Linked DNA regions of Arabidopsis thaliana. The protein of the gene in region 2 interacts with the protein of the main gene of each other region in a pairwise test. Each region holds a gene or a part of one and is shown on either strand. Other genes may lie near its edges.

The links. Proteins that work in one complex are often made in the same cells at the same time.
Region 1: the proteins of NAC069 (region 2) and POB1 interact in binary tests that used the Arabidopsis thaliana proteins (3 or more experiments, as listed by UniProt).

What each region holds. Positions count from the first base shown.
Region 1 is NC_003074.8:22,793,599-22,798,826, forward strand, and holds POB1 (POZ/BTB containin G-protein 1), read left to right. Parts: upstream 1-1,823; 5' UTR 1,824-2,105; coding exon 2,106-2,364; intron 2,365-2,456; coding exon 2,457-2,591; intron 2,592-2,686; coding exon 2,687-2,808; intron 2,809-2,905; coding exon 2,906-2,969; intron 2,970-3,148; coding exon 3,149-3,428; intron 3,429-3,529; coding exon 3,530-4,355; 3' UTR 4,356-4,455; coding exon of another isoform or gene 4,456-4,471; 3' UTR 4,472-4,726; downstream 4,727-5,228. Other genes in the region: HWS (Galactose oxidase/kelch repeat superfamily protein), read left to right, coding at 1-551.
Region 2 is NC_003075.7:673,354-678,212, forward strand, and holds NAC069 (NAC domain containing protein 69), read right to left. Parts: upstream 3,093-4,859; 5' UTR 2,873-3,092; coding exon 2,719-2,872; exon of another isoform or gene 2,639-2,718; coding exon 2,367-2,638; intron 1,861-2,366; coding exon 1,720-1,860; intron 1,646-1,719; coding exon 1,274-1,645; intron 1,194-1,273; coding exon 1,008-1,193; intron 921-1,007; coding exon 672-920; 3' UTR 509-671; downstream 1-508. Other genes in the region: MEE49 (Ribosomal RNA processing Brix domain protein), read right to left, coding at 3,913-3,951, 4,060-4,149, 4,225-4,294, 4,383-4,481, 4,563-4,642, 4,723-4,805. UniProt on the Arabidopsis thaliana protein: Transcription activator activated by proteolytic cleavage through regulated intramembrane proteolysis (RIP). Involved in salt stress response during seed germination and seedling growth.

The DNA.
Region 1 (5,228 bases), on a different chromosome or scaffold from region 2:
ACGATGTCTTATCCGGATGGAGAGGAGGGAACGAGAGTGTGATCTGCAACAATGTTCTTTACTTCATGATATACTCAACGGGAGGCTCAGATCATCGCCACGGCTTGATCGCTTCGAATCTATCCTCGATAGGATCACCGTCAAGCGGAATCTTGATGAGGAGTTTCATTCCAATGCCGTGTTCTTTAACCTGCGGGAGATTGATGAATCTAAGAGAGAGGCTTGTGATTGTCGGAGGAATCGGGAAACATGATCGACCAGAGGTTATAAAAGGGATAGGGATTTGGGTTTTGAAAGGGAAGGAATGGGTAGAGATGGCGAAAATGCCTCAAAGATTCTTCCAAGGTTTTGGTGAATTCGACGAGGTTTTCGCGAGTAGTGGCACGGATGATTTGGTTTACATTCAAAGCTATGGATCTCCCGCGCTTCTCACGTTCGACATGAATCTCAAGTATTGGAGATGGTCTCAGAAATGTCCTGTTACTAAAAAGTTCCCTCTTCAGCTCTTTACTGGGTTTTGCTTCGAACCAAGACTCGAGATTGCTCCTTAGTTGCAATGAAGAAGCAAATGGGTCTGTGAAAGTCTTGGTCTTTTGGATTGTTTTTGCACAGAGAAATCGCCGGCGGCTTTATGAAGATGATGATACGGTAATGTTTTTAAATTTTAGTTACTGGAAATGTTTTTCAGGAATATTGTTATTTGCAATTTGGTACTCTGTTAATTATAAATTTATAAAATGAGGCCCAGATACTTTTATTTGAACAAACGAACCCTTCTCTATCTCTCAGTGAAATATAAGAACATTTTTCAACATGTGGCCCACAATATCTCATGTAAATGGGTCGGATTCTGAAACTGGAGGTTGTCTTGTTGCTGTTCCTGGTGGATAAAAATAATGATTTTGTTCCTTTTTTTTCCACATATATTCATAATGATTTTTCATGTTTTATTAATTAATTATTGTTGTAAATTATTTTAAAGAATTATGTTTCTGTACTTGTATAAAATTGGGACCTATTTTCGTGATGGGATTTGTCAGGTTTGGCAGTGTTAGGTTTACGGGTAATGGACAACAGCTATTTTATTGTGTATTTTATCATTTTCTCAAGGGTCACTTATTTTCAATTTTCATAGCTATAATAATTTACTAAATTTTAAAATATAACAAAATGTCATTCATTAGTTATAATCGTATAAAAGTTGACGAAGTGATATATAGATTCTACATACTAAAAACAAAATTAATTTGTGTCATTATGCCAAAATGTCAAAAGGAAAAGAAAATTTAGACAATTACTCTGACACATCAAATCAGCTAAAACCTAACTAAATATACCAAACTAGCAACACATATTTTTGTTATTAAAAGCATTTATAATGATAAATCATGATCAGAATCATAGTAAGCAGATTCGAACACTAGTCTCTCAAATTTCGGTAGTAAAGTTTTCAACCATTAGAAGACAAATACGATTTTAACATCATTAGTATTGTTTTTTCTTTTTTAATTTAAGCGTTGGCTTTCCAAAATGAAATAGTAACAAGCATTAACGAGTTAAGTTGTCAATGGGGGAAGTTAAAACTCTTTAAAACCAAAAAATTGACCACACAACACATATAGTGCCCACTAGTTCTCTCAAACGAATATGGAATACTTTAAAACCCACCTCTATTCTCAAGAATTAAAGCCCAGAATTTCAACGTTCTAAAAATAGTTTTGAAAGATTTGTTTTTCACGGGTTTTTCGTAAAATAATTATGAACAAAACAAATAAATTCAAACTAATTTTTACACGTACAAATCTGACTCCTAGCCTCCTAGATGAAATTCAAAATTTTGTACCAGCAGCTCAAAGCTACTAGGTAAAAAATGTCACGAGAGAAAACCGGAGGAATATTGGTGGTTCATCAATACGAATCAAACCGAACCAAGTCATAAACCGGTTCATAGAAAGATAAGAAGACAGACAATCAGTCATCACTTTGGTCTCGTTGAGCCTTTCGTCTATCTCTCACCTGAAAGAAAGACGTTCAGCTTTCTCTTTCCAAAATCAAAAGCTCTCCGATCAGTTTCTCCGGCTTAGGAAATTAATTGAAGGAAGGTGATGAGAGGTACTACTGAGAATACGGATCTGTTCGATCCCAAAACCCAAATGGATCCTGACTTCACTCGTCATGGTTCTTCCTCCGACGGCGATTTTGGATTCGCTTTTAACGACAGTAACTTCTCTGATCGTTTGCTTCGGATCGAGATCATGGGTGGACCTTCGGATTCTCGGTCTGAAGTTGAAGGGTGTACGAGTATCGCTGATTGGGCTCGTCATCGCAAGAGAAGAAGAGAAGATATCAAGAAGGAATCTGGTGGTATGTAATTTGTTCGTATGGTTTAGGGTTTTTGTTATTGAAGTCGAAGTCCAAGTCTTTTTGGGTTTTAATGTTGTGATTTCATTTTGCAGTCACGATTTCAGACATTGTGGCATGTCCTGAGGAGCAGATTTTAACTGATGAACAACCTGACATGGATGGATGTCCTGGTGGTGAGAATCCTGATGATGAAGGAGGAGAGGCAATGGTTGAAGAAGCTTTATCAGGTACTACTATAGAGCAACATCCTTTGGCGAAGTTTTAGCTGTACACAAAGGAGCTTGTTTTGTTCTGAGAAGTGTTTTATTTATTTAATGTTTAGGTGATGAAGAGGAAACGTCTAGTGAGCCAAACTGGGGAATGGATTGTTCTACAGTTGTTAGGGTTAAAGAACTTCATATTAGTTCTCCTATTTTAGCTGCCAAAAGCCCTTTCTTTTACAAGGTATCTAAATAGGTTGTTGATGGATTTTGCTTTTGCTCTCATGTGTACCTTACTCTTTAATCCATTTGTGTTCTTTTTTTCTCGGAAATGTTGATAGTTGTTCTCCAATGGAATGAGGGAATCTGAGCAAAGGCATGTCACCCTTAGGATTAATGCATCAGGTACGCCATTGCAACATTAGCTATCTGAACGTGTTATTGATTTATCACACTAGATACAGTTGTACCGTTCTCTATTAGGTCCACAGAATCAAAATATGGTTTTGATTTGAGTTTGTTAAGGTAACTTGGAGATTCTTAGATTGATTTACATATTATACTCTACTTTGTGTGTATTACAGAGGAAGCTGCTTTGATGGAGCTTTTAAACTTTATGTATAGCAATGCGGTATCTGTCACCACAGCACCTGCCTTATTAGATGTGTTGATGGCTGCTGATAAGTTTGAAGTTGCCTCTTGTATGAGGTACTGCAGTAGACTTCTCCGTAATATGCCTATGACTCCAGAGTCTGCCCTGCTCTATCTCGAGCTTCCCTCTAGTGTTCTAATGGCCAAAGCTGTTCAGCCTTTAACTGATGCTGCAAAACAGTTCCTTGCAGCCCGCTACAAGGATATTACCAAGTAAAGCCCCTGAAACTACATATCCATGATATTACTGTAATCAAGAGCACATGAGATGGTGGGGCGATTCTTATAAGGCATGTCTAAACTTTCTTTTCCAGGTTTCATGAGGAGGTAATGTCTCTACCTTTGGCTGGAATTGAGGCAATTCTATCAAGCGATGAACTCCAAATTGCATCAGAGGATGCAGTTTATGATTTTATCTTGAAGTGGGCAAGGGCGCAATACCCTTGTTTGGAAGAGCGAAGAGAGATTCTCGGGTCACGCCTTGCACTCTCCATCCGCTTCCCATTCATGACATGCCGAAAGCTGAAGAAAGTGCTGACTTGCAGTGACTTTGAGCATGAAATAGCATCAAAGCTTGTTCTAGAAGCTCTTTTCTTCAAAGCAGAAGCCCCACACAGACAACGTAGCCTAGCCTCCGAAGAATCTGCATCCCTGAACCGCCGCCTGATAGAGAGGGCTTACAAATACAGACCCGTCAAAGTGGTCGAGTTTGAGCTTCCTAGACCGCAGTGTGTAGTCTACCTAGACTTGAAAAGAGAAGAATGTGGGGGACTGTTCCCGTCGGGTAGAGTGTATTCGCAGGCCTTTCACTTGGGAGGTCAAGGGTTTTTCCTGTCAGCTCACTGCAACATGGACCAACAGAGCTCGTTCCACTGTTTCGGGCTGTTCCTAGGGATGCAGGAGAAAGGGTCGGTGAGTTTCGGAGTGGACTATGAATTCTCGGCAAGGTCAAAGCCCGCAGAGGATTTCATAAGCAAATACAAAGGGAACTACACATTCACAGGAGGGAAAGCAGTAGGTTACAGAAACCTGTTTGGGGTCCCATGGACGTCTTTTATAGCGGAAGATAGTCAATACTTCATCAATGGCATTCTCCATCTCAGAGCAGAGCTTACCATCAAAAGGTCTACAGATCCTTAGTGACCGTTTACTTCTCAATTGTCACTGTCTCTCTTTCCTTTACCTGCTGCTAAATCTCTCGCTCTCTCTAACTTGCCTTTTTTTTCTTTTCTTTTATAAGGCTTGAAGAAGACTAATAAAGCTTATAAAAGTAAGGTTAAAAACGTTTCGACGACAACGTTATAAGAAGAATGTAAATGCGTTCTTTTTTTCTATCTACCCTTACTCTTTTGGCTTTGGATTATAAGTTTAACTCTTCAATGAAATTCTTAGCGTAGAGATTCTTGTATTATGAACGAAGTTGTGAACAGAAAAGAACGAACGTAACTCTCTCGTCTCATTTAACTAATTTATCTAGTTGGATTGAAATAGACATGACTTTTCGATTTGGGCCATGCGTATGTTGTTGGAGTTGGACTATTTTAAATTCCTGCAATCAATTTCAAAAAAATTCAAATCATATTGACCGTTGATTATATACCGTACACGTGGTACAATGTCACAGATATCTTATTATAATACTATACAGTTCACAGTCCTTTGTTTTCTTTATTAGACAATCATGAGACAAAGTACTGTAATAAACAATTAATCATACATGGAATTGTGAAGTAACTTTTTTGTTACTCTTTTACCAGAAATGATCAAATTTTACAAATGATTATTTTTTGTTCTAAAATTTATTTTAATGTCTTAGATTAAGGAAAGTAAACTAGTTTTGTAATAAATAAAGAAAAATAATTAAGCTCTTAAATATGTATAAATGATTATGCATTTAAGTATTAAGAAAGTGCAATAGTTTTTTTTATTTTATTTTATAATCAGAGAATCCTCGTGCACCAAGAATCTAGTTCCACTAATTAAGGTGTTATTCTTCTCCTCTAACACCAAATT
Region 2 (4,859 bases):
GCAAATTATTGACGGTTCATTGTCGGAGCTTCGAACGAAAGTATGAACCTTTCTCTTTTCCTTGTTTTTTTTGTGTATTTTGAGTCGAAGGATCTTTCGGAAATTATAGCCGCCACCATCGACGACGACGACATGGCGTTATTACTTTCTCTACTTCAATATAGTACTACTACTAATTTTGTAAAATATATGTCTATGGATTTGGCTTGCAAGATAAGGGATTAAAGTTTACAAAAAACAAGAAAAAGGTTCATAGAATCATATTACATAGTTGTAAGTAATATGATTGATTGATTGATTGATCATCGAAGTAATATTTGATTGATTGATCATCGAAGTATCAATCACATTAGACCAGTCCCTTGTCCGGTATGTAATCATTCTCTTAATTATCAACAAACCAAATCTTTGAGAAACCTTTCAAACCATTCACTGGTCTCTGTCGAATGTTTTCTTTATCAGCAGTCTAATGCTCCACCACGGCACTGAACTATGGACCCGCTCTAAATGTTATAAAATTTTCAAACCCTAAATTTTATTTAACTTTAGGTACAAGACATACCTCTTGGTCATACATACACACACATATATACATCAAAATTTCGGAAGAAAATAGAAATAAATAAAAGCAAAGTAAAAACGAGTGCTTTGATCAATCTGCTAGCTTTTGTCTATCTCTCGCGATCAAACTTCATCGCCGGGTTCAAGTTTTGTAACACCGATATGATGTTGCTAATGAGAGCCAGCAAGAGAATGAAGCCTATGATCATTCTCATGAGATAGATATACCGTGGATTGTTGCGGTTTCTCTCCATTGCTTCCTCTGTAATAAACCAGCTCTTCTTCTCTGTCTTCACCATAGATGACTCCTTGTCTATGGATGTATCACTATCAACCGCTCTTGATGTATCTTGTTTCACCTGTGAAGGAAAGTTACATAATCATTATCTTTATATATCCAACATATGTTGAAATCATATAGAATCAACATAAGAGCAACGCAAAACCTCTTGTTTTGGTCGTATGATGCTTCGTGTGAGTTGAGATTGCCGGGTGCTACTACTGATGGAAGGTTCTCCATAGGTTTGTAGATCATTGCAAGACGATAGAATCTCATCTCCACCAGTCTGGAGAAATTGTCTATTCGAACTACCAACACTATCATCACCTGGACTTGATGTTCCTTGGTAACTCTGACATAATATAATCAAAATGTGAGAATGGAGATTACAGCACAGAAGTAACGATAAAGAAAACGGGTGATTTGCTTTACCGTTGCAGATATCGATTCAGCATCACTATTACTATCACTGCTATAATCAACAATAATCCCTGACAAAGCCTTCTTTGGCCTGTGATCGTTGCGGTTCTCGGTCATAGATAAGGTTGGTCTGGATATGAAATCTTCATTGGCAAACAAATATTCAACCTGCTCTCGGTTAACATGCCTCAATCCACCGAGAAACTCATCATCATTCGGGGTTAAGTGAGGAGCTTGTGGATGCACAGTAGGATTGTTATTGTCACTGAATAACATGTCTGGATCCAGTACATCCCACAAAGAGAAATCTTCTTGTTCATTCTTTGGAGTCCCCAAATCATCCACAGACATACCAAAGAAATTTTCTTGACCTGGCTTCTCAAACTGAAAATGTAAAAGAGAGTTTTGAGTAAACGAATCAAGTACATGAGATTATCAAATAAAGAAACTGGAGTCACCTCAAGCGCTGTGGGACTCGTAGCTCTGACAGTATTCGAATCAGAGACCAAAGATTGACTCGGCTCACTCGAGTTGTTACCACCAGATGGGACGTCTCCATCTTCACCCTTATACATCACTTGGCAGATAACATAGTTCCTCTGAACAAATTCCAAAAGTACACACACACATAAGTTCTTTGCCAACAAAACAAAAAATCAAACACACATAACTCAAACAATCACAAGCTTTGGCAGAAGTAAGAACACTAGGTTACAACTTCTATACATAGCGCTTAAAACTCTGTGACAACACAGAACGTACTAATGATAGCAACCAACACAGGGGAGATTACAGTAATATATTCAACACAGGGAAGCAAATACACTAGCCTTCTAGGCCACAACTTCTATATATAACACTTCAAACTCTGATACACAGAACCTAAACTTGATGTACTAAGCATCATAGGGAAAAGATAAGTCAAACCCAAATCTATTCTTACAAGAACATGACTTTAACCTCAAATTGGGATAAAGATAGCAACCAACACAGGGACAGATGAATCAAACCCAAATCCAATTCAAGAAGATCAACTAACAGAAACATAACGCTAAGTCAAACTAACACAGAAGCTCAAATTCAAGAAACTCTGAGTTTATTATACCTGATCTTGAGGCAAACAAGTGATGTGATACTCATGCATAACCCAAGGAGTCCAAACACCTTTAGGAACTCTACCTTCATAATACACAAGCGTCTTCTTTATCCCAATCTCGCCGCGATTACCTCTCTTATCTTTGATTTTCCTATCAACACCAGTAGCTTTCCAATACCCTGAACTTGTAGTCCTCTTCGTTACCTTCTTCTTCGCAGAAGTATACTCCTTTGGACAGAAGAAGTACCACACAGGATCATCCGATTTTATCTTCGATAAAGCTACAACAACCAAACAAATCCAGAATTAGAAATGACCGATGATGAGACAACGATGATGATTTTGAAGTGAGGAAACTTACAAGGCAAGTAAATTGGGTCGTAACTACAGATGTTGATCTCGCTAATGGCTTCGTCGACGAGCCAAGTCTTACCCAAAATTTTGTTCTTTAGATAATGGTTTATCAATTCCTCTCCCGTTGGATAAAATCTATACCCAACCAGATCTTTCACCATTTTTTTTACACAGAAACAGATCAAATAACAAAACTTTTTGAATCGACACTGAAAATTTTTTAGTGTTTGAGTTTTAAGGGCTTTTTCTCACTTCTCTGTTTCTTTCTTTTTTCCTCTATCTATTATTGTTTTTTCTGAAAGACGAACAGTACTAATACAGTTGGGGTGAAGAAGAACCATAAAAAAAGAAAGAAAGATATTTGTGGCGGAATGCAGTAAAAGTATATTAATGTTTTTCCCCTAAACGTTGACAAATGAGAGGGACAAAAAAATATTTTAATTGTGTATGAAGTAACACGTGGCAGTAAGAAAAATTGTTTGAACTTCGAACCGAAGTTTCAGTTTTTTTTTTTCCTTTCCGAAGGATCTTTCTGGAATATTATAGCCGACATAATTGACAACATAGTAACATACATATACGTAATTACGTTCTATACTACACCTAAATAATCGTAATTAATTTTTAGATTTGTTTTTGTCAATCCTATTACATTATCATTAGAGATGTTCAGGATTTGAATGCTTACGGCGGTAAAAACGGTCTATAATTGATCCGCGACGATTTTCTTTTATTTTTCTTAATCTATAATCTTACATACTCTAATTTATAAATGGTAAATCAAAAACGGTCTAATTCGCAAACGGATTTATCCGTCTCAACCACCGTAACCATTCACATCCTCAAATCTAATCCTATTATTATGGTGATGAACTGATGATCGTAAAACTATTAATTATGCAACATAAAGGTCCACTTAACTACTAAACAAAATCCAATATTACTGCTGTAGATTCAAATGCTCGATGTCGATATATACCAAACCAAACAATCATAAGTTTAACCAACTATATATAGCTTAGTAAAAAACGAGGGCCTATATTGTTGAAACAAGTACTCTTACGATTGTTTCGATGGCTCATGGCTATATTGAAAAAAGAAATGAGAAGTTTTAAAGACATACAATTTTGGACGGAGGTAGGGAAAATTCGAAAATGCAAAATAAACACAAAACTTGGTGAAACTCGGAAGACAGCAGAATTTATAAGAAGAACCTTCTCCTGCTCGTGTCCATTTCAGGCTGTAATGAAATACAAAAAAAAAACACATCAGAAAATAAAATTAAAAATCATCAAAAACTCTAAAGAACAGCAATGAAGCTGCTCGTGTCCATTTCTGGTGATTTTACCTTATGAACCCATTCAAATTCTCCACCTTTGGTGTCAAAAGTTCCATGCTGTAGAGTAACTAGCTTAAGCGTGAATCGAGGACCGCATTCCTAAAAATCCAAAGTTTAATGATACAAACATTGATAATGTTGATTACTTTTTGATTCAACATGGTCAAAACTGACCTGAAGACGAGGTTTTATTGTCTCTTCTTTTCCTTTATCACTCTTGCTTTCCTTTGTCTCAAATATGTAACTGGATAGTGTTGAAATTTGTTCAATAAAAAGTTTTATTGGAGAATGGAGCAAAAGCAACTCGAAGAAGAAAAGGTGAAGTTATGTACCGGTGATGTCTGAAAAATATAAAGTCACGCTGGTTGTGGAATGTTACAACTCTCCTACCACGGAAATTAGGATCCGGAGGGAAGAGTGATTGAAAAAATCTGAAAAAAGGAAAAATCTAACATCAGCAAGAAATTCAAAGAGACCATAAAACCAAGTCAACAACACTATGAAAACTATACCTCCCAACACGATTCCCTAAACGCGTTGTAAAGTTATTCAAAACCAGTTCTGGTTGATGGCTTGTAGGATTTCCGTGATTCTGCAGTTACATTTAACATCCAATTCAGTGATCACTAATCTACACTCGATGTAGAGAAGAGTAATGGTTAGCTTACATACCTTAATATCCTTCCTTAGAACAAGATTTGACAATTTGAAATGAGCAGTAGGACCATTTGGCAAACCGATGATAAGAAGCGCATCTACATATGAAATAGCAAAAGCTTGAAACAAAGCATATACAGTAGAGAGCACAA